Callithrix jacchus: one gene and its partners. The protein of the gene in region 5 binds, or shares a complex with, the protein of the main gene of each other region. Links are inferred from orthologs where the notes say so. Each region holds a gene or a part of one and is shown on either strand. Other genes may lie near its edges. The genes, in order: RBL2, MYBL2, RBL1, E2F6, TFDP2, LIN52 and E2F2.

Region 1 (3,830 bases), on a different chromosome or scaffold from region 5:
GCATATAAACTGTATCTCAATAAAGTGATTAAAAAATGTTCTCGGTAATGAACTGCCTTTGCAGTTCCAAATGGCAAACTCACTTTTGCCATCACATAAATGGCACACATTAATAACTGGTCCAGATGTCGGTCCATCATAAGTTCAGGACACTGAATTATGGAGAATTCAAAGCAGGTCCAGATTTTTTTCCTCAGTTCATCTGAAATATCTAGTTTGGCACAGAGATCCCGAAGGCGTACACCTGCTAAATGGTATACCTAGGAGAGAAACAAAAACATTTCAAACTTTAACACTTATATTTCCCAAGCTCATGCTTCTGGTAAGGTTACGTGAAAAATTACCTTTCTAAAGAAAAGCGATAATGAGCTGGTTTTCCTGGGTCTATTACTGCTGCTGCTTACGGACTGGCCTTGCTTCTGCTGTTGGCCACCTGGGGAAATCTGTTGAATGGCCACTTGACCAGGGACTTGTAAAGTTGTTCCTGTCACTTGTTGAGAGCTCAGACTTCCAGCCAGGGCCTGAGCACTGAGGGGCTGGATGGAGCCTGTCACAGCTTGTGCCTGCCCCCCAACATTGACTTGGACTGGGTAGAATGTTATCCCTCCATTTTCATTGGCAATACCTAGTTTGTGACAGAAAAAAAGCTTGAAGAAAATGTTAATAAGGGGTTCTCCAGGCAAAGGTTTACAATTTCCCCTCTCTTAACCCCGCCCCCCATCACTCCTCTGTCCCCTGCGTCACTCTAGCCAAACCTTGGGTAACTTTTCAATACATGCCACAGAGAAGGAACTCAATATCCAGCTCTGCCTTCCTTACCTTGCACAGGAATGGTTACTGTTTGCCCATTGTTGGCAGTGACAGTGGCAGTCGCCATGGTGACCAAAGTTTGTCCAGGAACTGGTGTGACAGAAACAGGCTCCCCAGATACATTCTGCACAGGGACAGCATTGACTATTGGCTGTTGGGGCATGCGCCCAGGTGTCCCTCCATCAGAAGGGCTATCATTCTCAACAAATAGCCGCCTTCTGGTAGTGCTGGCTGGTGGTGAGCTGTACCTATCATATAATGTGGTTGGAGATGTTACACCTAGGGTCAAAACAAATCAAAGTATTTAACTCAAGGAGACTCAGATCTGACTTCCATCCAAGTTGTCAGGTTCAAAAATTACTACAGTGTTTGAAATTATGTTTTCATAAATCAAAAAGCAAACAAGAATTACAGAAGTCATATCTTACCTCCATTCCACTAATGAAAATTAGTGAATTTTCAAGAGCAAAATTTTAAAATGGAATTTTTTGTCTTGTAGTGTTCCTTTCTCCAATCCCCCTTTCCCTAATCAGACTCGACTCTGTCTTCCACTACTACAGAACCTTCATGATTTAGGGGCAATTTAAGGCATTCATTACCCTATTTCTCTGTATGACATTTTTCTGTAATAGATATGACTTTACTACAGAGCCACTACTTGACACGATTGGTAGTATGTCATCTAGGAGCATTCCCCCACCAGTTTTACCAATTTTTATCTTTGTCTTTTTCCACATATAAAATATTATTAAAACTCAATATACTTAAGGTGGACATGCATGACTTATGACTTGGATTCAATTAGGCATAGTTTATTTTTTAATCAGTTTTTTATAAACAAGGTGGACGTGCATGATTTGGATTCAATTAAGCATAGTTTATTTTTTTAAACAGTTTATATATCATAAATTTTATCCACTTAAATTGTACAATTCAATGGTTTGAGGTAAATCATTTTTATTTTTATTTTTTGAGACATAGAGTCTTACTCTGTCGCCCAGGCTAGAGTGTAGTGGTATGACCTCGGCTCACTACAACCTCTGCCTCCTGGGTTCAAGTGATTCATGTGCCTCGGCCTCCTGAATGACTGAGATTACAGGTGTATGCCACCATGCATGGCTAACTTTTTTTTGAGACAGAGTTTCGCTCTTGTTACCCAGGCTGGAGTGCAATGGCGCGATCTTGGCTCACCGTAACCTCCGCCTCCTGGGTTCAGGTAATTCTCCTGCCTCAGCCTCCTGGAGAGTAGCTGGGATTACAGGCACGAGCCACTATGCCCAGCTAATTTTTTGTATTTTTAGTAGAGACGGGGTTTCACCACGTTGACCAGGATGGTCTCAATCTCTTGAACTCGTGATCCACCCGCCTCGGCCTCCCAAAGTGCTGGGATTACAGGCTTGAGCCACCGCGCCCGGCCTAACTTTTGTATTTTTAGTAGAGATGGGGTTTCACCATGTTGGCCAGGCTGGTCTCAAACTCCTGACCTCAGGTGATCTGCCCACCTTGGCCTCCCAAAGTGCTGGTATTACAGGCTAGTTTTTTAACACTGTGGTAAAATATATATATATAATTTACCATTTTAACCAATTTTTATGTGTACGATTCAGTGGTATCAATCACATTTACAATATGGCAGAACAGTCACCACTATTTGTAAAACTTCATTACCTGAACAGCCCATTATGGCTTAGTCTGTTTTTAAGTATTCACACCAATGTCTGAATTTTTGAGAAGCATTCCTTCCTTCTTCTGTGTCCACCTCTAAAAGCTGTGTATCAGTTGTTTTTAAATTTTAAAATATATGTAGGAAGTTCGTAAGAGGTATTGATAGGAGTAAATCCTAATAAACTGCAGCTTAACATTTCTATTTCCAGATGACACAAAAGTAAGTCAAGTTACTAGATTTGTATTTGGTACAAAGCTGCAGAATCAGAAAGAATACATTATCATTTTTGTATAAAATATCAAGAGATCTCAGGAAAACTGAGAAGTGATAAGTGCAAAGAAAATGAAGTTTAAAGTTAAGTCCTCTTAATCTGTAAATAAGGGAAGGGAAAATTCTACAAAAATAGACTGAGAAAGACCAGCTGTCAGATCTTTCAAAAATGAGGACTTTTCATATGGATCATCCATGTGTATTAAGTATACACTGACTTAGAGTGATTTTTTTTTGTACAGATAGCATCTTGATATGTTGCCCAGAATGGTCTTGAACTCGTGGGTTCAAGCGATCCTCCCTACTAGGTCTCCCACAGTGCTCGGGTTACAGGCATGAGCTACCATGCCCATCCTAGAGTGATTCCTGACTTTATTTATTTAGAGACAGAGTCTCACTCTGTCGCCCAGGCTCAAGCGCAGTGGCCTGATTCAAGCTCACCACAACCTCCACCTCCGAGGTTCAAGCTATTCTCCTGCCTCAGCCTCCCAAGTAGCTGGGATTACACATGCCCGCCACCATGCCTGGCTAATTTTTTTTTTTATTTTTAGTAGAGACGAGGTTTCACCTTGTCGGCCAAGCTGGTCTCAAACTCCTGACTTCAGGTGATCCACCTGCCTTGGCCTCTCAAAGTGCTGGGATTACAGGCATAAGCCACGGCACCTGGCCGATTCCTGACATTAAAACTGGTATTTCTTCTACAGCCAGCTCTTATCAATTACATTATAAAACTGATCTAGAAATAAGAATATTCTTTTAATTGCATCCAAGGATTTAGAACTCTCTGGATTTACTGAATTGCTCTTTAAAAGGTAGTTCTATTTAAACTTCAACCTTTCATATTGCAGATCTTCCAAGCAGCTGCCTAAAAAGTATAAACCAGATGCACAGCAAAACTGCCCTTTTCTGTATTTCTTGGACCAGCACTAGTGTCACATTAACTAGGGTAGCACATCTCAACAGACCAAGTGGAACATACTCAGTAGTCTTAACTCACGGGTTTGTCTGTACCTAACTGGATCATGTAGCTCTGTCTTTAAGAAGGCATTTCTATTTCTCCTGTAATATGTATTTGCCGTAAAAA
Region 2 (4,285 bases), on a different chromosome or scaffold from region 5:
CACACCTGTTTTCCCAGCACTTTGGGAGGCACAGGCGGGCAGATCAGGAAGTCAGGAAATCGAGATCATCCTGGCCAACATGGTGAAACCCCGTCTCTACTAAAAATACAAAAAATTAGCTGGGCATGGTGGCATGTGCCTGTAATCCCAGCTACTTAGGAGGCTGAGGCAGGAGAATTGCTTGAACCCAGGAGGCGGAGGTTGCGGTGAGCCAGGATCGCGCCACTGCACTCCAGCCTAGGGAACAACAGCGAAACTCCGTCTCAAAAAAAAGAACAAAAAGATGGAGCTAGAAGAAAACCAAGTCAGGCTTCATGTTACAAGGTTCAATAGTTTTTTAGAAAAAGAAAGGGAGAGTTGGCTGGGGGCAGTGGTTCACGCCTGTAATCCCAACACTGTAGGAGGCCAAAGCTGGTCAACATGGTGAAACCCCGACTCTACTAAAATTACAAAAATTAGCCAGGTGTGGTGGCTCATGCCTATAATCCCAGCTACTGGGAGACTGAGACAGGAAAACTGCTTGAACCCGGGAGGCGGAGGATACAGTGACCCAAGGAGGTCTTATCATTGCACTTTAGCCTGGGTGACAAGAGCAAAACTCCATCTCACCCCCCGACAAAAAAAAAGAAGAAAGCGGGAAATTACAGGCTTGGCCAAACCTCCTAGCAGTCAAATGGCAAGAAGCATAATCAACGTCCATGAAACAGAACATCCCAGCTGCTGAGGAGACACAATGGGCCCTAAGGTCTGAGACACACATCCCCTTCCCATCCACCGAGTCCTCAGAATTAAGTCCCCCAGAGGACCTATCCTTTCACTGGCTCCTCCTCTTCATCCCCTCTGACAGGACATCAGGAAGACACTCCAGGCTCAGCTCCTCTGGCCAGCCCCAGCTACCATCAGCCATCTCCTCCCCATGGCACTCACCTCCTCGTGGGTCCATTTGACCTTGCACTTGCTATCCCTCTGCTCTGGCACATCTGAATCTGTGTCCTGGTAGTGCAGCTCATCCAACTCCTCGCTATGGAGAAAGCAGGCCAAAAGGTTAAGGATGTCACTGGGCTGGAGATCAGTATGGCATGATCACAGCCTTAACTCCTGGACTCAAATAATCCTCCCACTTCAGCCTCCCAAGTAGCTGGGACTACAGGGGCATGCCACCACATCCAGCTAATTGTTTGTATTTTTTATGCAGACATGGGGCCCAGAGTGATCTCGAACTCTCCCACCTCGGGAGTAACTAAAAAAACAACAACAATTGAGCGGTAACTATGCCCATTTGTTGTTTTTCTTGAGACAGAATGGATCTGTTACCCAGACTGGAATGCAGTGGCATAATCATAGCTCACTGCAGACTCCAACTCCTAGGCTCAAGCAATCCTCCCACCTTGGCCTTCCAAAGTGCTGGCATTACAAGCCTAAGCCACCGTAACTGGCCAAGTTGTTGCTTGTGCTTGGATTTTTTTCTTTTTCTTGAGACGGAGTTTCGCTCTTCTTACCCAGGCTGGATGGAGTGCAATGGCACGATCTCGGCTCACCGCAACCTCCGCCTCCTGGGTTCAGGCAATTCTCCCGCCTCAGCCTCCTGAGTAGCTGGGATTACAGGCACGCACCACCATGCCCAGCTAATTTTTTGTATTTTTAGTAGAGACAGGGTTTCACCATGTTGACCAGGATGGTCTCAATCTCTCGACCTCGTGATCCACCCCCGCCTCGGCCTCCCAAAGCGCTGGGATTACAGGCGTGAGCCACCGCGCCCGGCCCCTTTTTCTTTTATTTTGTAATGACAGTCTCGCTATGTTGCCCAGACTCATCTTGAACTCCTGGGCTCAAGTGATCCTCCTGCCTCAGCCTCCCAAGCAACTGGGATTACAGGTGTGCACCACCATATCCAGCTTATGTCCATTTTTGCAAATCGCTTCTCTCTTTTGCAAATCCCTTTTCAATCCTTGCCTACACACAGGCATAATTAATGGAAAGAAAAATCAGTGTACTGGCCAGGCACAGTGGCTCACACCTGTAATCTCAGCACTTTGGGAGGCTGAGGAGAGAGCATGAGGTCAGGAGTTCGAGACCAGCCTGGCCAACACACTGAGCCCCGTCTCTACTAAAAATACAGGCGCCTATCCTCAATAGCAGGTGTCATACATGATTTAAAAAAAAAAAAATACAGGCGCCTATAATCCCAGCAGCTTGGGAGGCTGTGGGAGGAGAATCACTTGAACCCGGGAGATGGAGGTTGCAGTGAGCTGAGATGGCGCCATTGCATTCCAGCTCAGGAGACAGTGCAAGACTCTGTCTCAAAAAAAAAAAAAAAAAAGAAAGAGGCCGGGCACGGTGGCTCAAGCCTGTAATCCCAGCACTTTGGGAGGCCGAGGCAGGTGGATCACAAGGTCAAGACATCGAGACCATCCTGGTCAACATGGTGAAACCTCGTCTCTACTAAAAATACAAAAATTAGCTGGGCATGGTGGTGCGTGCCTGTAATCCCAGCTACTCAGGAGGCTGAGGCAGGAGAATTGCCTGAACCCAGGAGGCGGAGGTTGCGGTGAGCTGAGATCGCGCCATTGCACTCCAGCCTGGGTAACAAGAGCTAAACTCCGTCTCACAAAAAAAAAAAAAAGAAAGAAAAATCAGTGTACAGTATATTCTAACATGGCTGCAGAGGAAAAAAAAAAAAAAGTACAAGCTGCTTTGAAGGCTGGGTGTTTTTCTTGTACAAGGGAATTTTCCAAGTTGCTCCAAAAAGCCCTTGTATTTACCCAGTGTAATAGTTACAAAAATGGAAATCACACAATCCACGTCCAGAGATGTCAGGCACATGAGGAAAGTTAGTAACCTTTCCCCAACTCAACAACAGAAACTGCATCAGATCATCTTGGTCTGCTGAGTTGCTAGGTCATGCATTTGTAAACTGGAAGAAGCTTACAGGTTCCAAACAAGGCAAGTCTAGGTCTCATGACCAAATGAAAGGCGACTTACTGTGCTATCCACATTACCTTCTCCTTGTTCTCCACAGCTCACCATTCCTTCCTAGAGTCACTCCTACATTTCCACAGCACATGGAAAAACTTCCTGCCTCAGGTCCTTACACTGCAACTGCCTATCTCTACACAGTCTACAAAGGTCAGCTCCACCTCCGCATCCCAGGGCTTATCACCAAAAGCCTTAAGAAATGTTTGCCCAGTGACTAAATACGCCACAAATGAATGAAAAAAAATGTGCAAAGCAGCTGCCTAGTAGTCGATAAGAAATACTAATTAAATTTTTTAGGCCAGGCAAGACCCGGTTTCAAAAGAAAAAATTTTCAGGAATAGAAAAGGAAGAGATGGGGGACAGGGAGCGGTTTTTTAAAAATAAAATAAATAAATAAATAAGGGGGGGAAAAAAGGAAGAAATGGTGTCGACTGCCAGCAATACATCAGTCACAGAAGGCTCTGGAATTCATTCCTGACCCAGTTCATGGGTCCACCACCATTGCCATATAAAAGGCAAAAATCCAGAAGATACTAGTAACAGAAGGAAGCTGACTTTAAAAACAACTGCCCCCAGACTGCTCGTGACAGAAACCATCTTCGCTTCTCCAGCATCCAGCACAAACAAGGCCTGGCTTCTAGCAGAAGCTCACAAATACTCTTTTCAAAGATGAGAAGGGTGTCTGCATGTACACTCTCTGGTGCTCCAATGCTATTTATTTTTTTTATTTTTGAGAGTCTAATTTTTGTATTTTTAGTAGAGATGGTGTTTCACTATGTTGGTCAGGCTGGTCTCGAACTCTTGGCCTCGGTGAGCCACCATGCCCAGCCTCCAGTGCTGTTTGATACGGTCAGCATCTCAGATAGCTGGGACATTTCTGTGAGATAATATACTTTTTTTTTTTTTTTGAGACGGAGTTTCGCTGTTGTTACCCACACTGGAGTGCAATGGCGCTATCTCGGCTCACCGCAACTTCCGCCTCCTGGGTTCAAGCAATTCTCCTGCCTCAGCCTCCAGAGTAGCTGGGACTACAGGCGCGCAACCACCATGCCCAGCTAGTTTTTGTATTTTTAGTACAGACGGGGTTTCACCTTGTTGACCAGGATGGTTTCGATCTTTTGACCTCGTGATCCACCCGTCTCGGCTTCCCAAAGTGCTGGGATTATAACCCCATCTCTACTAAAAATACAAAAATTAGGCCGGGCGCGGTGGCTCACGCCTATAATCCCAGCACTTTTCGCTGCGAGTTTCCCAGCGAAACTCCGTCTCAAAATAAATAAATAAAATAAAACAAGTAGCCAGTTGTGGT
Region 3 (4,413 bases), on a different chromosome or scaffold from region 5:
AATGCTGAAATGAGTTAAGACTTTGGGGGACTGTTAGGAAGGCATGATTGGTTTTGAAATGTGACGACATGAGATTTGGGAGGAGGAGCCAGGGGTAGAATGATATGGTTTGGCTGTGTCTTCACCCAAATCTCATTTTGAATTGTAACTCTCACAATTCCTGTGTCGTTGGAGGAACCCAGTGGGAGGTGATTGAATTGTGGGGGCGGGTCTTTCCTGGGCGGTTCTGGTGACCAGAATGAATGTGTTTCACAAGATCTGTTTCTTTTAAAAATGGGAGTTTCCCTGCATAAGCTCTCCCTTTGCCTGCCCCTATCCATGTAAGATATGACTTGCTCGTCCTTGCCTTTCACCATGATTGTGAGGCCTTCCAGCCACGTGGAACTGTAAGTCCATTAAATCTCTTTTTCTTTCCAGTCTTGGATGTGTCTTCATCAGCAGTGTGAAAACAGACTAATATAATATCTAAGACTTAAAAAAAAACTAAGGTGAAATTTACATAACACAAAATTAACCATTTTAAAGTGTACAATACAGTGGCATTTAGTAAATTCACAATGTTATGCAACTATACCACCTATATCAAGTTCCAAAACAGTTTTATCACTCCCCCCCAAAAAACTCTATATTCATTACGCAGTTATTTTTTGTTTTCCCCCTAGACCCTGGAAATCACAGGAACCATTAAGTTAGACTAAGAAAACTTAAAGACATAAGTAGGTATTTAAAAAGACAGATTTTAGATGGCTGTATAATTGGTTCTAGTCATATAAAAAATAGTTTTTTTCAATAATCTCAATTCCAATTTTTATTAGCCATTTTATGTACATTGATAGCAAGTCCTGAAAATGGTAAAACATGTCCAGAATTTCTTTTTTTTTTCTTTTCTGAGACAGGGTCTCACCCTCTCACCTAGGATGGAGTGTAGTGGTGTAATCACAGCTCACTACAGCCTCAATCTCCTGGCCTCAAGTGATCCTCTCCTGTCAATCTCCTGAGTAGCTGGGACTACAGGCACATGCCACCATGCCCAACTAATTTTTAAATTTTTCTGTACAGATGAGGGCTCACTATGTTGCCCAAGTTGGTCTTGAACTCCTGGACTGAAGCAATCCTCCTCCCTTGGTCTCCCAAGTATTGGGATTATAGGCATGAGCCACAGCACCCAGCCCAGGGTTTCTTATACAGTCAATGTACAAATGCTCATTTACATTTTGCATAATAATGAAGATAAAAATGATACAACAGTTATGGCGACATACAAATATGTACAAGGATTCAAGACAGATTTTGTTATTTGGCTTATAACAATGTGTAGATACTACACAAAGAATGAGGATGTAATTTTCATTTACAAGCAAAATGTGACCAAAATCCCTTTTCTTCTTAAAAATAGAAAAATAAAATTCTTGAGAATACTAATTAGTGACAGCCAAATCTTAGACTATTTTAAATTAGCCTGGTTAAAAACAGGTGAGTTAAACATTGTGCCTTTCAAAAATTAAGGTTTGCAGTTAGAAACATAAAGATTTGATAAAAGTTCTCAAAATAAACTATGAATGGCTTATCCATACCCTCTGGATTCTGGACACATATTAGAAAAAGTAAATGTTAAAGAGGTGATATTTTGGAAAGCTGCATCCCTAGTACTGGAAAACATCTTCGGGAGTACCCAGTGGTCAAACACTAGCAGGAAACTCATGATGCACTAATAATACTGAGAACAAAGTTGGGGGAAGTAATAATCAGCTGTTTTACTGATGTATTCAATATATTAGAATTATGAGGCATGAGATGATATTTATGTGGTTTTTTAAACGTTTTCAAATATTCTTAGGGACTCAATTAGACATGACTGATAGTACGATGTGAAAAATAGTATACCATACATCATCAAGATGTTACCTTACTAACAGGAAATTTAGCTTTTAATAACTAACTGAATTTTATTCTACTGGGTTGAGAAGCAGCTGCCAATTTTGAGAACTACATGAGTTAACGCGATCATGCATGATTAAGTTAATGCCACAGAAACCAAAATGATAGTTTACAAAAGAAAAAGTAGCCCATTTTTTGGTTTGTAACATCAGGCTAATATGGCTTAGGGCTTAAAAGCAAGGATAAGGGTAGCACTGGGGCTCAGGTGCAAATCTGCTTTTGCTCAAGGAGAGAAAAGGCATGAGAAGGGGTGAGACAACCCTGAATGGTGGTGGCACCTGGATGTGTAATTACCACAGTGGGCCAGAGACAGGCTGGTACATCACCCTCTGGCTCAGGTACTCTGGGAACCAACCCTCTCCTTCAATTAAATTGAGAATACAAATATCTGAAAGCATGCTTACCAAAAGTAGATTATTTATCCTCATATTACAAAGCTCAGAAGAAGGAGACATTTATTTTTAAAAGAGAGCTAAAAAGTTACAGGGTTTCTCCTTATTTCATCTTGAAAACTAACCCAAGGAGCACACATTAAAAAAAAAATTCCTTGACTATTAATATTTTTAAAAGGCACTTAAAATATTCCTTTCCAATCCAACTTAAAATACATCTCTGTCAACCACATTTTGGGTATTAAAAGCACATAATTTTTGTGCAATTTTTTCTTATAACCCAGTGATATTTACCATCTATAGGGCCAAAAAGGTTTGAAGGACAGAGCTCCAACTTTCTGCAGAATGATCTGAAAGTGCTTTTATCACAGAAACAACAACATTAATGACTTGCTCTCTCACTGACAACATTCTGTAGTCGTTTCAGTAAAACATCATCATTTTCTTGACAGGCACGTTTGGCAGGGGATTCTGCATCACTATCGATGGCTATTGCTCGCTTCTTGGTTCTCTGCTCACCTTGCCTTATCATGTTGTTGATATCTTTCAAACTCTGTACAGAAACAGAAAGTGTGTGAATAAAAGAAGGAGAGGGAAAATGGCAGCAAACAACCAAGTTAATTGTTTTTTCCTGCGCTCTATCCTCTATCCAAATCTTAACAATGGGATAATGATTCTTTTTTAAAGTTAGAACAACCTAATAAGGGATGGCTAGAACTAATCTTTTCAGATAGTTTAAAAAATCAGATTTAAGGCCAGGTGTGGTGGCCTATAATACCAGCACTTTGAGAGGCCAAGATGGTTTGATCACTTGAGCCCAGGAGTTTGACACCAGCCTGGGCAACAGGGCAAACCCAGTCTCTATAAAAAATACAAAAATCAGCCAGGTGTGGTGGCTTGTGCCTGTAGTCCCAGCTACTCAAGAGGTTAAGGTGGGAGCATTACCTGAGCCTGGGGAGGTGGAGGCTGCAGTGAGCAGTGATCATGCCACTGTACTTCAGCCTGGGCAACAGAATGAGACCCTGTCTCAAAAAAAAAAAAAAAAAATTTGAATTTACTGTAGAACAGTAGTTCTCAATGCGTAGTACCCAGACTAGAAGCAGCAGAAGCTTTTTTGTTGTTGTTGCCTAGGCTGGAGTGCAGGGCACAATCTTGGCTCACTGCAATTTCTGCCTCCTGGATTCAAGCGATTCTCTTGCCTTAGCCTCCCTAGTTGGGACTACAGGTGCATGCCACCATGCCTGGCTATTTTTTTTGTAGTTTTAGTAGAGATGGGGTTTCACCATATTGGTCAGGCTGGTCTCGAACTCCCAACCTAGGGCGATCCACTTGCCTTGGCCTCCCAAAGTGCTGGGACCCAAAGTGCTGGGATTATAGGCGTGAGCCACCATGTCTGACTAATTTTTTGTATTTTTAGCAAAGACGGGGTTTCGTCATGTTGCCCAGGTTAGTCTTCAACGCCTGCACTCAAGCAATCCTTCCCTCTTGGCCTCCCAAAGTGCTAGGATTACAAGTGTAAGACACCTCGCCTAGCTGCTTTTCAACCTTTAATGCACTTACTAATTATTTAAAGATCTTGTTAACCTGCAGATTCAAAATTAGTAGGGCTGGTGTAGGGCCTGAGATTTTGGAATTCTCACAAGCTCCCAGGTGATCCTGATGTTGCTGGTCCATGAACCATACTCTGAGTAACAAGGTTGCAGAGAAGTGGTTCTTGAAATCCACGTATATAACAATTATAGGGAGCATGTCATAGAGTCCTAGACCTGCTAGCTGATGATTTGTTATTCACAAGGTCTGTGGGACAGGTATCTGCATTCAACAAGCTCCCCAGGTGATTCTGATTCATGATTTCAGAATCACTGTCTTAGAAGTCAAGTCAATCTTTGACTCCATGCAGCAATCTCTTCTGAACATCCTTATGGGAAATAAATTTGCAAAAGGAAGAAATATAAGTCCATGAAGAAGTGAATCTTTTTGTTTTTTGAGACAGGGTTCCACTCTGTCACCCAGGTCAGAGTGCAGTGGTGCAATCACAGCTCACTGTAGCCTCCAGGGCTCAAGTGATTTTCCCACCTCAGCC
Region 4 (3,830 bases), on a different chromosome or scaffold from region 5:
ATGACTGCTTTAACTGGGAGCTAGTCTAACTGTAACAAAGTCTGTTTTCTCCTGTTTAGTGCAGTTAGGCCTGGGCTGGACACACAGACACCACTGCTCCCTCCTGCTCTTCACTGCACTGTGATCTCATACCAGGGTGAGTATGGGGAGATGCAGCCTCTCAGACGGTCTCAGACCCTCACTTGTCCTTGCTATGACTTTCTAGTACCCAGCAAGTGGGCTAGGGAATATCTGTGCTCAGCTTCTAGAGTGCCAGGTCACATCTGGTTTGAATGGTAAATCCCATACAATTTAACAGATATTTCTAAACAGTAAAAGGAACTAATGTTACTCTCAACTGGAAGCCAGCTGAGGACTTCACATTCCACTAAACTAGTTGTCAAACTTCTGTAAAGGGTGAGCCAGTAAATATTTTTGGCTTTGCAAGTCATACTATCCCTGTCACAATCCCTTAACTCTGCCACTATAGTATAAAAGCAGCCAGAGACACAGTATGTAAACAAATGGGCATGTAGCTGTGTCCTGATAAAAGTATTTCTAAGAACAAGAAGGTCAGTTTGCCAACCCCCACATCTTCATGGTCAGGCTCTGGTCAATTGGGCCCATGTGCACAGACTTGAAATGAGACTCTAAGAGAAGCCTCAGGCATGATCAAAGGCTCAGCCAGATTCAGCAATTACAGTCTGAAGCAGCTCATGGCATAGGGAAAAAGCCCAAAGTCCCCAGTGCCCTGGCTGAGACCACACCTTACTTTTGGAACTTTAAGAGAGGAAAATTCTTGGTGGTTCTTCTAAGAAGCAACTATGAAGCCACCTTAACCAGGTCTGAATTCTGGTGATCCTGACAAAGATAACTCATCTTGTGAGCTTTCGGTTCCTCATCTTTAAGATGAGAATAATGACTACTTGATTTGTTGTTAGTTGAAACAAGTTAAAGGGTATGAAGTGCCTTGAGCAGTGTCAGTATGAGACACACAGTGCACATGCACACAACGGCTCTGAAGCAAACTCTGCCTCCCAGGTTCAAGCAACTCTCCTGCCTCAGTCTCCCAAGTTGCTGGGATTACAGGCGCCTATCATCACGCCCGGCTAATTTTTTGTATTTTTAGTAGACACAGCGTTTCAGTGTGTTAGCCAGGATGGTCTCAATCTCCAGAACTCATGATCCGCCTGCTTTGGCCTCCCAAAGTGCTGAGATTACAGGCATGAGCCATGGCGCCTGGCCTTGGATATTTTAAAAATGCAGGGTTACCTACTTCTCTGGGAGCCGGAACATCCAATCTGGTTTCTGCTGGAGCTTTGACTGCAATGACGATCTGTTCGTGGAAGGCCTGAATGCTATGAATGTCTTGATATGTCACATATGCTAGTGTAAAACTCAGTCAAGGATCTCTATGCAGAATGCTATTTATTGGGGAGATAATTTATCTCTAGTAACTCAGTAACACAAGGGTAATGTTAGAATGTCTTTAGTTTTTATGAGATACAAGTTCACAATGAAGGAAAGCAGTAAAAAAAAAATTCATTGATCATTTTTATTATTCACAAAGATTTTGTAGTGTTTTACAATATTTCCTCAACCTAAAGAGTTTAAGCTATACTATTATAATGATAATTTCTAGAGAAAAATATTAATAAAGTCCAAATCCCTAACACAAATATAGCTCATGAAGAAATTCAAATTTTCATTTGATTCCCTTTTCAGCTACAGTAAGCTAGATCTTACTATAACTTTAAGAAAAAACATTCAGGACTCATCCCCTAAAATCCATAAAAAGGTGTAAACAACTTAGAGACTGTTTCTCAAGACTGTTATGTTCATTACTTCATCCGAAATGATTTTCCTTCTCACTATCTGAGTCTCTTTCGTCCTGTTTCACTGTACTGTCTCAAATTTTACCTCAAATTTACTGGGTTTCCCTAGCACTGTTTTTTTTCCCAATTGGCTGCAGTAATGTTGGTGCTTATTTTTCTTTTCCTTCCAATAACTGTACTGTAGGAATAGAGGTTTCTGACTGCTAGAGAGTTTTAAGTAAATCTGAGGTATGGAATATCTTAGAATCAGTGACCCCCTCACAAAGGGTACCACGGGAACAGCACAGTGTACAGGTCTAAGACACCTAGGAGGTCAGTACCAAAGACAAGGCTCCCCCAGGCCCATTCCCCAGTTCCCAGAGACACTGAGTTTCAAAGGAAAACTGCTATTAAGCAAAACATGCTTCTGTGGACACAAATGGCAGTTGAAGCACCACTTACTTCAATGGCAATTCACTCTGTTTCAGAATCAACTTCCGTTTACAAATTTCTAGGAAAAACATGAATTTCACAAAAGCCAACAAAAATTTATTATCTTTACAGTATTCAGACTATAAAAATGAATGCTCCACTGTTTTAAGTGGCAGCATTGACCTTGGTTTGATACTATACCCGAGGTCATCTTCCAGAATTTAATCTAAGAAACGCCACACCGAAGTTAAAACAACCTACTGCGTACGCTGTGTATGTTTGAGGCTACACTACCAACTTGTACTTACTTAAACTTGTTTTTTGTTGAGATGGAGCTTCGTTCTTGCAATGGCACAATGTTGGCTCACCACAATCTCCACCCCCCCAGGTTCAAGCAATTCTCCCGCCTCAGCTTCACGAGTAGCTGGGATTACAGGCATGCGCCACCACGCCCGGCTAATTTTGTATTACTTTAGCTTGCAATGGTCTAATTTTATATTTTAAATATATAAATTAAGTCCCCAAGCTGACTCTACTATCTAAGTAATCTGCTCTGGAAGGAGAAATTTTAAAAACGTACAGACTTAAAGGATATCTTCCATTTTCTTTGTCATCTGTTAACGCAAACAGCTGCTGAGCACAATCCTTAATTAACTCATCCAAAGCATCTTCCATTGCTGATAAGTCAGAAAGTTCCTCCTGCAGCTTCTTTTGTTGAGGAACTGCTCCAAAATTGCTAAGATCAGATCCTCTTTAAAAGAAAAAAAAATCACCATCAATACCAACTAGGAGATAACAAAGGAATTTGACGTTAGGTTATGGAACCTCAAATGTTTACCATGGGTGTTTTCCACAACAGAAAGTAGGGACTTTCAACTTCTGCCGTCTTTGTTCTAGACAGCCATTATTCCTCCTGTATATAAATTATTCATAGTTCCTCTTACAGTCTTTTGCAAAAAATAAAAAATACATTACACTCTAACAGAAATTAATAATAGCAGAGACAGCCTAAGGAAGCAGAAAGAGCACTGAACTAAGAGTCAGTAATATCCAGCTTAAGCCTCAGTCCTATACTTACAACACAGCTTCTGGTAAGTTAGTGGCAATCTTATAGTACTTGAATTCCTACATATGAAAAAAAAAAGTGTTGGCTAAATGATGGTTCCTCTGCTAAAATGTGATGAGTCTGTATTTTTCCCTAGTGTATGCATTCCATCTGAATACAACAGTTATATTCATTATCATAAAAAAGACGTATTTTCTGGCCAGGCTTGGTGGCTCACACCTGTAATCCTAGCACTTTGGGAGGCTGAGGAGGGCAGATCACCTGAGGTCAGGAGTTTGAGACCAGCCTGGCCAACATGGTGAAACCCCGTCTCTACTGAAAATATAAAAATTAGCTGGGCATGGTAGTGCACAGTTGTAATCCCAGCTACTGGGGAGACTGCAGTGGGAGGATCTCTTGAACCCAGGAGGCAGAGGTTGTAGTGAGCCCGAGATCAAGACACCGTACTCCAGCCTGGGTGACAGAACAAGATTCTGTCTCGAAAGAAAAAAAAAAGACATACATATTCTCTTTAGTTATTAGGTCTACTCCAATATGAT
Region 5 (3,830 bases):
TGAGTTCAAGACCAAGCCTCACCAACATAGCGAAGAAAAAATACAAAACCTAGCTTGGCATGGTGGCATGCGCCTATTATCCCAGCTACTAGGGAGGCTGAGGCAGGAGAATTGCTTGAATCCAGGAGGTGAAATTGCAATGAGCCGAGATTGCGCCACTGCACTCCAGCCTGGGTGACAGAGTAAGACTCCATCTTAAAAAAAAAAAAAAAAAAAAGGAAATATTGACATTATAGAAAAAAATGATACTATAAGAAGTACCAGGAGGAGGAAATGCAGTAGGTATGCCAATTTCCTCTTTTTGATACTGGAAGGGATACGGATATTGTTCAAAGCAGATTAAATAATTATAAAAGGTTCAGCACGATCTGTTGATTTAAAGTAATACAAACAATTCTAATAGTATTATTATTGTTTTTCCGAGACAGAGTCTTGCTCTGTCACCAGGCTGGAGTGCATGGCACCATCTAGGCTCACTGCAAACTCTGCCTCCTGGGTTCAAATGATTCTCCTGCCTCAGCCTCCCGAGTAGCTGAAATTATAGGTGCGTACCACCATGTTGGCCAGGCTGGTGTCAAACTTTTGACCTTGTGATTGATCCACCTGCCTCGGCCTCCCAAAGTGCTGGGATTATACGCGTGAACCACTGTGCCTGGCCTGTAATAGTATTCTTATTCTTTTAACAAATATACTAAAATATCTAATCTGAATCTTATGGTAGAAGAGAAAAATGGAAGATAAAAATAAACATACATTTTTCTTCATAACCAATAGACACTGTCTACAGGTGATAACTCAAGGAACTTAAGTTATAAAGGTAACCAACTGAAGAACTAGAGACTACAAGCACCCTAAATCATCAGAAAAATCACAAAGCAGTGAACAAAGAGGGGAAAAACTCAACCTTTGTTTGTATCCTGGGAAGGTGGTGGTGTTCGGGTATTAATAAAAATGTATTTTATATGTTGAAAAGTACTAAGAAGAAATGCTTCATTGTGGTGACAGGTGAGTGGAGATCACAGGGCATGGAGGGAGAAGCCATATGGATACATAGCACAGAGTGCTCTAGGCAAAGGAAACAGCAAGTGCAATGGCCCGATCAGGAACAAAACATGTAGCTGGAGCGTAGTGACATGTGGCTGGAGGATAGTAAATGAGAAAGTGCACAGGAGAGGACAAGATTAGTGAGGTAATGGTGGGCAAGATCACAAAGCAGCTTGTAGCTCATTGTTAGAACCAAGGCTTTCACTCAGAAACAGAATGCTATATACTTTTCTTTTTTTTTTTTTGAGACAGAGTTTCACTTTTGCTACCCAGGCTGGAGTGCAATGGTGCGATCTCGGCTCACCGCAACCTCCGCCTCCTGGGTTCAGGCAATTCTCCTGCCTCAGCCTCCTGAGTAGCTGGGATTAAAGGCACGTGCCACCATGCCCAGCTAATTTTTTTGTATTTTTAGTAGAGATGGGGTTTCACCATGTTGACCAGGATGGTCTCAATCTCTTGACCTCATGATTCACCCGCCTCAGCCTCCCAAAGTGCTGGGATTACAGGCTTGAGCCACCGTGCCCGGCCCTATATTTTTCTTTTTCAAGTGGTTAGAGAACATTAAAAGGAAAGAAAATCACTATATCATGGCTCCCAAGGAAAAAATATAATCCACAGAAAAGGGAAATAGTTCAAATCATATTATCTGGTCAAATTAAGTATGAAAAGTAAAACTTTAAGGCAACAAATAAGCAAAAAAAGAAAAGAAAAACATTTGTAACTATAAGAACTCTTTCTAAGGCAATTCTTAGATCAAAGAACAAATTCAATCCAAAATTACAGAATATTTAAAGAACGATATATCAGAATCAAGGGCTAAATCAGTGCTCAAGAGTATAAGTCATAGACACATAGACACACACACACACACACACACTTTTTTAAAGAGATTAAGTCTTGCTTTGTCACCCAGGCTGTAATGCATGATTGAATCCCTGGGCTCAAACAATCCTCCTCAGCCTCTGGAGTAGCTGAGACTACAGGTTTGTGCCACCACATCTGGCTAATTAAAAAAAAATTTTTTTTTTTGTAGAGGTCGGGCATGGTGACTCATGCCTGTGATGCCAGCACTTTGGGAGGCTGAGGCTGGAGGATCATTTGAGTTCAGGAGTTCAAAATCAGCCTGTGGCAACATAGTGAGAACCCTATCTCATAAAAAAAAAATTAAATAAATAAATTTTCTCTCTGTAGAGGCAGAGCCTTGCCATTTTTGTTCCCTGTTACTCAGGAGGCTGAGGCACAAGAATCACTCAAACCTAGGAGGCAGTGTTCAGTGAGCCAAAATTACACCACTGCACTGCATTTATTTGAGACTCTGCCAGACAACTGAATTTTTATCTTTTTTTTCTTTTTTAAAGATGAGGTTTCACCATGTTGGTCACGCTAATCTTGAACTCCCAACCTCACGTGATCTGCCCGCCTTTGCCTCCAAAGTGCTTGGATTACAGGTGTGAGCCACCACGGCCGGCTGCAACTGAATTTTTAATAAACATATTTCTGTATTCCTTTTCCAATTAAAAATAAAATTTTTTTGTTGACTTAGACACTGAAGAAACAATAAGATTCAGAAACATAAAAAAATTACTGGTGGCCAGGCGCAGTAGCTCATGCCTGTAATTCCAGCACTCTGGGAGGCTGAGGCGGGTGGATCACTTGAGGTCAGGAGTTCATGACCAGCCTTGGCCAACATGGTGAAATCCTGTCTCTACTAAAAATACAAAAATTAGCTGGGCGTGGTGGCAGGTGCTTGTAATTCAAGCTACTCAGGAGGCTGAGGCAGCAAAATCGTTTAAATCCAGGAGGTGAAGTTGCAGTGAGCTGAGATTGTGCCACTGCACTCCAGCCTGGGCAACAGAGTGAGACTCCGCCTAAAAAAAGAATTCCCTACAAAATAAAACTCAACAACAACAAAAAAATCCCCCCAAATACAGGATGAAACTCTAAAGTATAGTCATTCACCTCGCTTATCTGATTCCTCAAATCTATTACACGGCTAACACAAAGAAAGTAGCATCATCCATCAAAATCAACGGCAGGTTCATGGTCTACCTACCGAATCAGCTGCCAAATGGTTATTTGAATTGGTGAACTCTGACACCAGCTCATCAGCGACTTCATTGTATGATGTTGTACCTTTTCGTTGAACTTTCTCACACACTTTCATTGAAAAGTGTCTCAAGCCTTTCCCATTTTTATCTCCTTTTTTGCTCCGTTTACTAGAAGAGAAAATTTACTCCATTACACATATTAGAGACTTCCTTTACAAATCTCTGTAAGATAATGCAAGAAGACAGTAATTTAAGTTTTGCTTCATATGGCAAAAATTTAACAGAGATGAGAAAATGTTTATTTAAACTTACTTTTTGCCTTAAGGGCCTAATAAAATATGAAGTTAGAGTGCTTTTCTATGCCCATCATTTATTTATTCAACAAATGTTTACTGAACAGTTACTATTCTGTGCCAGATACTGTTACTGACACTGAGAATAAGTCAGTGAAAGAAACACAGAAACTCTGCCCTTGTACAGCTAACATACGTATCTTTTTGTATTCTATGTAGATTATATGATTTTTTACTGAAATTAAAACTACAGTCATTTGCTGCATATACAACAGTGGTCCCCTGTTCCAATGGATTCCAATGGAGCTGAAAAATTCTCATTGCCTAGTGATGCAGTAGACATTGTAATGCCATAGCATACTGCATTACCCTGACGCTGGCAACAAAGCTACTGCACTGCCAGTGCTAAAGAAGTCTAGCATGTGCAATTATGGACAGTACATAA
Region 6 (4,269 bases), on a different chromosome or scaffold from region 5:
ACTAAAAATACAAAAATTAGCCAGGTGTGGTGGCATGTGCCTATAATCCCAGCTATTGGAGAGGCTGAGGCATGAGAATCACTTGAACCCAGGAAGCAGAGGTTGCAGTGACCCAAGATGGTGCCATGGCACTCCAGCCTGGATGACAGTATGAGACTCCATCTCAAAACAAAATAAATAATAACAAAAATAAATTAGCTGGGCATGGTGGTGTGAGCCTGTAGTATCAGCTACTTGGGAAGCTGAGATGGAATGATAGCTTAAGCCTTTCAGTGTGCTGGGAGCTATAATCATACCACTGCATTTCAGCACCGGCAATAGAGTGAGAGAGACCCTGTCTCTAAAAGAAAATTTAAAAAAAAATCATTGAGGGTAGGATCTATAACCTACACCGGTGACCTTATGATACCACAATCTGGGACAGAACTCTGCTGTGAGTCTTACTCTCACAAATTAAGTAATTAGATGGCTGTATTTGAATTTCAGTTTTCTCCTTTTCAAAGAAGTTCCAGCAAATTTAGCATGAAAAAGACAAAAGAGTAAATAAAAAACATTTTTAAATCAATATTGTTTGAATTAAATTTTAAAGACAGTGACAGGTGGAACACTAAAAATAGAAGTGAGAGAGCTAGGCCATGGAATATTTTAGAATGAGTTACTTATTTAGAAGATGAATTTAATTAAGTTCAAAGTGCTCGACTTGATTTTGTCAGATTAAAAAGAAAAGATTAGGTGGAGAAGAGTGAAACTCTGTAAGAGATAAGAATGAAAACTTAAAAAATAAAGAGTGCAAATAAAGTGACCATAAAGATGGCTAGAAGACCAAAGGAAAAACATACAATGTTTTTAATACTCTTCCTGGCCAAAGAAAGGAAACTAAATTGAGAAGACAGGGGAAAAAATCCAACTCAAGAAACACATCTTTAAAATCCCCCAAATCTGTAAAAACAATTTAAAAATAAACTAAAAAATTTAATAACAATTACCTCTACTTCTATCACTTGGCTTTGTTATTTTAAATTGTGGTGAAATATACATAAATTTGACCATTTTAACAACTTTTAAGTATACAGTTCAGTGGTATTAAGTACATTAATTGTGCAATCATCAGCACATTCATTTCCAGAATGTTTTTCACCTACCTAAACTGAAATTTGGTACCTGTTAACAGTAACTCCCTATTCCCTCGCCTTGCTTTTTAAATGCCCTTCTTTCTGGCAAGAGAAGGACATTTCAGCAAGAGAGCACCCAGGCAGGAGACTCTCTTTTGACTCCAAACATCCATAATTTCTTTTTTGTTGTTGTTGAGACGGGGGTTTCGCTTTGTCACCCAGCCTGGTGCAGTGGCATGAACATGGTTCACTGCAGCCTCCACCCCAGGGCTCAAGAGATTCTCCTGCCTCAGCCCCCCAAGTAGCTGGGATTACAGGTGTGTGGCACCATGCCCAGCTAATTTTTGTATTTTTTTTTTGTAGAGACTGGGCTTCATCATGTTGTCTAGGTTGGTCTTGAACTCCTGAGTTCAGGCAATCTGCCCGCCTCAGCCTCCCAAGATCTTAAAACTTAAGATCAAGTAATATATTATTTCTGCATATATCTAATCAATCTTTCAATAAATGCTAATTAAAGACCTACTGTTCACCAGGCACTGTGCTAAACCCTGGGATCCAACTATAAACAAGACAAACTTGAAATTTATAATCTAGCATAAAAGGGGCAAAGTTAACAGAATTACTATGCTGACAAGGAAGACACTGAGATAATGAATAATGGTGGGGAAGAGCGACTCCAGATCCTGTGTTCTAAGAGACTCTTTGGGAGGTGACATCTAAAAAAAGATCTGAAATTGAAAAAAAAATATTTATATGTTTGAGTAATCTTTTGGAATCTCAAAGCACCTAGCATTATGCGTTTCATGTAGCAGGTACTTAATAAAGCTCACCTTGGCTTCAATTTCCTCATTCCTGTAATGAACTTTCAAGATTCCTTCCAAATACAAAATGTGTTTGTCTAAGGGAGGGAAACCTATATATCAATGAAATCGATATATATAGTTGGGATGGGAACGACAGAAACAAAAATGAGTTTAAAAATGACTGCAAGACCCTAACTCTCTAAAGCAGAACCGAGACCAAAAGCATAGGAATATACCAAGACAACCTAATTGTTACTTGAAATGACTTGCATTTTACAATACATAAACAGAAATCGTTCATTCACTCAGCCTGAAGAAACAACACAAAAAGCAGATGCAAAAGAGGTTGCGACCTGTGCAAGACAACACTTAAAAGCTCAATACTCATTCTCCTCGCGACTCTCACGGTGAGGGGCCGAGAACGTCCCCCGATTATCTTGCTGCCACGGCAGTGGTCCCAAACAAGAGACAGGAGAGAGATCATGTTTCTCTTGCGGTTCAGTATCGAGATGAGGTCAGCCAGCAGCCACTGCTAGAGTTTGTGAGAATCGTTCCATCCCTGCGCTCAATCAGAAGAAAACTGATCCCTCAGTGTGATACTCCAAGGAGGAGACTAGTTTAAGGCACGTCCTTTCCTCCACTAACATCTCCTCCGAGGCTCTCAGCCTCACCCAAATAGAGACAAGGAAGGATCAGGGCAACCCCCTGTCCTTTTACCCAAAGTGAGTCCCTCCCTGGTGCCCTCCTCCACACGCCTGGTACAGAGCGGGGAAACTGGGCACCTCCGGAGCCGCTGTGAAGAACCAGTGAGCTGAAGACGGCGATGGATCTCAAGAAAAAAAGTAAAAGGGAAAGGAGAAGAGCCCAAGAAAGAAATGTATGTTTGAGGGGCAGAGACAGAGTAGACGTTGCCGGTAGAGCAAAGAAGGAGGCTGCAGGCAAAGATCTACAAGCCGGCTCTTACCGTCTGTGGGAGACGCCATCTTCCAACCCATGTCACGTGACATGGCCAACCGTCGGCGGGAAAACGAGGATCCATAAGCCACTCCCCCAAAGAGAAACCCTATCCCCAACTCACAGCCTAGTCTCATTCCCTCGCCTCATAGGGCAACATTTGCCTATCCCCGCCCCTAATTATAGCCACGCCCCTCGCGCAGTTGTTGAGGTGGAGCGACTGCAAAATTCTTGGAGGGTCTTATTTACTTTTCTCGGTGAGAGGGCGGGGCCTCGGTTGCGCCCTTGGCCAATCGGAGTTCCGGGTTAGGGGGCGTCTTCCCCGTGTGCACAGTATGGAGTGTCCAAGTCAGGGGCGTCTTCTCTACCTCCGCCAACAGCATTGGCTGAAGTGGGAGAGGGCGAGACCTTTTTCGCTCCTGACCAATCACTTATTCACAGGACTGGCGTGTGAGGGGCGGAATCAGGTGTTGGTTCGCGTGACTGGCTGGAAAAAATAGTCCTACCCACCAATGAGGAAGCCAGTCAGGATGGAGGGCGAGGCCTGGCAGCTGTAGTGCTTCTGAGCAGTAGAGGCGCAGGGTGCGGAGCTAGGGAGGCCGAGAGCCATGGCGGCGGTGGTGGCGGCGGCGGCAGTGCGAGCCCGGATCCTGCAGGCGAGTGAGGGTGGTGCCAAGGGACCATGAAGCCAGGACTTAGATCTTTTCCGTCCACTCCGTGAACCATCCTCGGGCGGGACCACCTTTTTGGCCCAGCCCCTTTTTGGCCGGACCTCGTGTTCCTACGCGACCTGTGCGGCCCTGTCCCATGCGCAGCTCTCACTTCATACCCTACCTCGTCCCGGATCCCACCCGAGCTGTTACTCTTGGCCTTACACCCTTTTACTCCTGAGCCTCCTCTTTTCTGGCTCTCGCCCACTCTCCTCCAGCCCTGCCCGGTCCCTGCTGTCACTCTCTTGCCCTCACCACTCCATCCGTCCACCGTCTTTCCTTTTCACCTCTGCACCAGCCTTCTCTCTCTCCCCCGAGAACTACTCTTTTTGATTACTCTTTCCCTGCCGTGAGCGTCCACGTTGCCATTGCTCCCTTTCCCCACCCTACTTCACTTTCCTTGATCCGAGGTAAGGGGGAGAGGGGATGTGAGGGGAGAGGGTAAGTGTATGAACTTTGAATCTCCTTCTAGACGTGTACTCCAGGTATTCACCAAAGGCAGCCATTTGCAAGCTATTTTCCCCAAGCGTGGCTCTTTGTATTTTCCATAGACTGGGTTGTGCCCTTTCTTGCCAAAACTTTCAGCTAAACTTTCTCTCAGCTAAGTTACAGTTTACATAGATAGGGCACATCTACATAGGGTAGATGAGGGCACATAGTTAACGCTACCAGTGTGTTCCATGTACGTTC
Region 7 (3,830 bases), on a different chromosome or scaffold from region 5:
CCCAGGTTGAAGACCAAAATTCCTGACACTCCCTATAAGGCCTCAGTGCTCTGACCCCAGCTGACCTTGCCAACCTCCTTCTCCCTGCTGTCCCATCTATCTTTGTTTTGGCCACACTGATCTGTCTGCAGTTTCCCCATTGCACTAAGCTCATTCCTAGTGTGAGATCTGTTACATTTTATTTATTTTTTGAGATGGAGTCTCATTCTTTTGCCCAGACTGGAGTGCAATGGCGTGATCTCAGCTCACTGCAACCTCCGCCCCCCAGGTTCAAGCGATTCTCCTGCCTCAGCCTCCTGAGAGCTGGGATTACAGGTGTGTACCACCACACCTGGCTAATTTTTGAATTTTAAGTAGAGACAGGTTTCACCATGTTGGTCAGGTTGGTTTTGAACTCCTGATCTCATGATCTGCTCACCTTGCCCTCCCAGAGTGTTGGGATTGCAGGCATGAGCCACCGCACCCGGCCTTTTTTTTTTTTTTTTTTGAGGACAGGGTCTTGCTCTGTTTCCCAGACTGGAGTGCAGTGGCATGATCTCAGCTCACTGCAACCTCTGCCTCCCGGCCTCAGGCCGTCCTCCCACCTCAACCTCCTGATTAGCTGGGACCACAGGTGTGTGCCACTATGCCTAGCTAATTTTTTGTATTTTTTGTAGAGATGAGGTTTTGCCATGTTGTCCCGGCTGGTCTCAAACTCTGGTACAGAAGTGATTTGCCCATCTTGGCCTCCCACAGTGCTGGAATTATAGGTGTGAACCACTGCACCTAGTCTTGCAAGACCTTCATACATGCTGTTTCCTCAACTGAAATGCTCTTCTCTTTATGCCTGGTTTATTGCTATTCATCCTACAGATCTCAATTCAAATGTCACTTTCTCAAGGAAGCCTTCTCTGATTACGCAGACTTTATAACCGCCTGTGCTTTTACACTGCCTTTAGTCTCCATTTGCTGAGGTATATTTGGCATGATAACATGATTGCATTCTGCTTCATCTATTAGAGTGTAAGCTTCACAAGGGAAAGTTCTGCTCACCTTGTATTCCCTGCCCAGAGCCTGGCATATGATAAGGGCTCAAGAAATAATTTGTTTAAAGGAAGAACTGGAGCTGTGGAGATGATTAAGTTCCCTCTCCTCCCCTGGAGAAGTTCAGGCCTTAGTGGGAAAAAGACGTGGTCATTTATAGACTGAAGATGTTGCTTTGAGAGCATAGAGAAAGGGTAGAGGAGACATCCTGGGTGGAGACAGTTAAACTAGATCTTAAAGAATGAATAGGGTTTTGGGCCGGGTGTATTGGCTCACGCCTGTAATCCCAGCACTTTGGAAGCCGAGGTGGGCAGATCATGAGGTCAAGAGATCGAGACCATCCTGGCCAACATGGTGAAACCCTGTTGCTACTAAAAATACAGAAATTAGCTGGCTGTGGTGGTGCATGCCTGTAGTCCCAGCTACTCGGGAGGCTGAGGCAGGAGAATTGCTCGAACCCGGCAGGCGGAGGTTGCAGTGAGCCGAGATGATGCCACTGCACTCCAGCCTGGTGTCTGGTGACAGAGCAAGACTGTCTGAAAAAAAAAAAAAAAAGAATGAATAGGATTTTGTTTGTTTTTGAGACGGAGTCTCACTCCATTGCCCAGGCTGGAGTACAATGGCATGATCTCAGCTCACTGCAACCTCTGCCTCCCAGGCTTAAGTGATTTTCCTGCCTCAGCCTCCTGAGTAGCTGGGATTACAGGTCCACACCATCAGGCCCAGCACATTTTCGTATTTTTAGTTGAGCCAGGGTTTCACTGTGTTGGTCAGTCTGGTCTCGAATTCCTGACCTCACGATCTACCCACTTCGGCCTCCCAAAGTGCTGGGATTACAGGCGTGAGCCACCGCGCCTGGCCTCCCTGGAGAAGTTCAGGGAATGGGGTTTTTGGTAGGTGCAGTTCTATGTGAGCACAGGCATGGAGACCTGGACGTGTGCCAGGATGCCATGCATGTCATCAGTTGTGGCTTAAGTTGTGGTTATGTGGTAGGGAAGAGGCAGGGTGAGAAGGCTAAATATCAGGACTCTTGGTTACAAGTAACAGAAAGTCAAGTCCAACTGGCTTAAGCCGTAGGTGTGGGTAGGGGTGGTGGGAACCAAATGACAAGTTCTGGGGGAGATTCAGAGATGGCAGGCAAGGCTGGATGTATATGCTCAAACTATGACTTCAGGTCTGTTTCATGCTTTTCATCTCTCTGCTTTTCTCTGTGCTGACTCCATTCCCAGGTGGGCTCTTTCCTTGTGATGGCAGAGATAGCCTCCTTGAGATGCAGTCTCGCTCTGTTGCCCAGAGTGCAATGGCATGATCTTGGCTCACTGCAACCTCCGCCTCCTAGGTTCAAGCAACTCTCCTGACTCAGCCTCTCCAGTAACTGGGATTACAGACACCTGCTACCACGCCTAGCTAATTTTTGTATTTTTAATAGAGATGGGGTTTCACCATGTTGGTCAGGCTGGTCTTGAACTTGTTACTTCAGGTGATCCACCCGCCTTGGCCTCCTGAAGTGCTAGGATTACAGGAGCAAGCCACTGTACCCAACCTTCACGCCCAGCTACTTTTTGCATTTAGTGGAGATAGGGTTTCACCACATTGGCCAGGCTGGTCTTGAACTCCTGACCTCAAGTGATCCACCTGCCTCGGCCTCCAAAGTGCTGGGATACCAGCTCAGCAACCCCAGTGGGAAGGGGACTTCCATTTCCCACAAGTCCAGCAAAAGTCTTGGGCCTAGTGCTGGTTAGATCCACCTAAGGAGCCGAGCCATGTGCCACCCTGAACTGATCATGTCACACTAAATTTCCTGGCTGTGTCACAAGCTCACCCACTGGGATTGGGGAAGGGTGCTGCCTCCCTGCCCCAAAACTGCATGACCTGAGAGTGGGAGAAGAGTGATTTCCCACAGGAAAACCAAGGTGTTCCCCCTAAAAGAAGTGGGCTTTGGGGCCAGACAGCAGAAACAGCAAAGTCCACCCTAGGCCAGATGGACCTGGTCTCAGTGCCAGCCCAGGGGTTGAGCTTGCTCCCATGGGCAGCAGCAGCCGTGTGTGTCTGTCCATACACACTGATGCACCCAGAGCCATGACCTTGCTTCTCTTTTTCCTCCAGGACAACCTGCAGATATATCTCAAGAGCACCCAAGGGCCCATCGAAGTCTACCTGTGCCCAGAGGAGGTGCAGGAGCCCGACAGTCCTTCCGAGGAGCCCCTCCCTTCTACCTCTACCCTCAGCCCTAGCCCTGACTCTGCCCAGCCCAGCAGCAGCACCGACCCTAGCATCATGGAGCCCACAGCATCCTCAGGTAGGACTCTTGTCCAGAGGGACAGGAAGTGGGGAGAGCAACCAGCCTTAGTTTTCTCTTCTACATCAGTGTTTGTTGAAAACCTCCTGTTTTATCCAGCAGCTGAGGATGCAGTCATTCTCCCCTACATGTGTGCATTGTATTTAATGCTTTATAAAGCCTCACTAGGAAGGCCTGGATTTGAATCCCAGCCCATCCGCTTACCAGCTATGGGACCTTGGACAAGTCACTTAACCTCTCTTGGCCTCAATTTTTCTCATCTGTGAATTGGGCATAGTAATTAATACTGTCTAACTCTTAGGTTGTTGGGAGAATTAATAAGTTAATATGGTCAGGTGTGGTAGCTCACACCTATAATCCCAGCACTTTGGGAGGCCGGGGCAGGAGAATCATTTGAGGCCAGGAGTTCAAGAGCAGCCTGGGCAACACAGGGAAGACTCTGTCTCTATTAAAAAAAAAAACAACTTAAATTAGCCAGGTGTGGTGGTATGTGCCTGTAGTCCAGCTA

The links.
Region 1: TFDP2 (region 5) and RBL2 share a complex: the UniProt entries of both Homo sapiens proteins name them as parts of the DREAM complex. The link is inferred for Callithrix jacchus from reciprocal best matches to the Homo sapiens genes TFDP2 and RBL2.
Region 2: TFDP2 (region 5) and MYBL2 share a complex: the UniProt entries of both Homo sapiens proteins name them as parts of the DREAM complex. The link is inferred for Callithrix jacchus from reciprocal best matches to the Homo sapiens genes TFDP2 and MYBL2.
Region 3: TFDP2 (region 5) and RBL1 share a complex: the UniProt entries of both Homo sapiens proteins name them as parts of the DREAM complex. The link is inferred for Callithrix jacchus from reciprocal best matches to the Homo sapiens genes TFDP2 and RBL1.
Region 4: TFDP2 (region 5) and E2F6 share a complex: the UniProt entries of both Homo sapiens proteins name them as parts of the DRTF1/E2F transcription factor complex. The link is inferred for Callithrix jacchus from reciprocal best matches to the Homo sapiens genes TFDP2 and E2F6.
Region 6: TFDP2 (region 5) and LIN52 share a complex: the UniProt entries of both Homo sapiens proteins name them as parts of the DREAM complex. The link is inferred for Callithrix jacchus from reciprocal best matches to the Homo sapiens genes TFDP2 and LIN52.
Region 7: TFDP2 (region 5) and E2F2 share a complex: the UniProt entries of both Homo sapiens proteins name them as parts of the DRTF1/E2F transcription factor complex. The link is inferred for Callithrix jacchus from reciprocal best matches to the Homo sapiens genes TFDP2 and E2F2.

The regions. Positions count from the first base shown.
Region 1 is NC_133521.1:11,390,818-11,394,647, reverse strand, and holds part of RBL2 (retinoblastoma-like protein 2), read right to left. Parts: intron 1,090-3,830; coding exon 820-1,089; intron 626-819; coding exon 345-625; intron 261-344; coding exon 84-260; intron 1-83. UniProt on the Homo sapiens protein: Key regulator of entry into cell division. Directly involved in heterochromatin formation by maintaining overall chromatin structure and, in particular, that of constitutive heterochromatin by stabilizing histone methylation.
Region 2 is NC_133506.1:39,048,189-39,052,473, reverse strand, and holds the start of MYBL2 (myb-related protein B), read right to left. Parts: upstream 3,102-4,285; 5' UTR 3,065-3,101; coding exon 3,000-3,064; exon of another isoform or gene 2,997-2,999; coding exon of another isoform or gene 2,983-2,996; intron 1,022-2,982; coding exon 928-1,021; intron 1-927. UniProt on the Homo sapiens protein: Transcription factor involved in the regulation of cell survival, proliferation, and differentiation. Transactivates the expression of the CLU gene.
Region 3 is NC_133506.1:2,312,996-2,317,408, reverse strand, and holds the end of RBL1 (retinoblastoma-like protein 1), read right to left. Parts: intron 2,884-4,413; coding exon 2,713-2,883; 3' UTR 781-2,712; downstream 1-780. UniProt on the Homo sapiens protein: Key regulator of entry into cell division. Directly involved in heterochromatin formation by maintaining overall chromatin structure and, in particular, that of constitutive heterochromatin by stabilizing histone methylation.
Region 4 is NC_133515.1:103,595,908-103,599,737, reverse strand, and holds part of E2F6 (transcription factor E2F6), read right to left. Parts: intron 2,977-3,830; coding exon 2,821-2,976; intron 1,371-2,820; coding exon 1,256-1,370; coding exon of another isoform or gene 1,252-1,255; intron 1-1,251. UniProt on the Homo sapiens protein: Inhibitor of E2F-dependent transcription. Binds DNA cooperatively with DP proteins through the E2 recognition site, 5'-TTTC[CG]CGC-3'. Has a preference for the 5'-TTTCCCGC-3' E2F recognition site.
Region 5 is NC_133518.1:42,562,907-42,566,736, reverse strand, and holds part of TFDP2 (transcription factor Dp-2), read right to left. Parts: intron 3,261-3,830; coding exon 3,098-3,260; intron 1-3,097. UniProt on the Homo sapiens protein: Can stimulate E2F-dependent transcription.
Region 6 is NC_133509.1:109,031,245-109,035,513, reverse strand, and holds the start of LIN52 (protein lin-52 homolog), read right to left. Parts: upstream 2,918-4,269; 5' UTR 2,911-2,917; coding exon 2,880-2,910; intron 1-2,879.
Region 7 is NC_133508.1:60,271,388-60,275,217, reverse strand, and holds part of E2F2 (transcription factor E2F2), read left to right. Parts: intron 1-3,129; coding exon 3,130-3,322; intron 3,323-3,830. UniProt on the Homo sapiens protein: Transcription activator that binds DNA cooperatively with DP proteins through the E2 recognition site, 5'-TTTC[CG]CGC-3' found in the promoter region of a number of genes whose products are involved in cell cycle regulation or in DNA replication.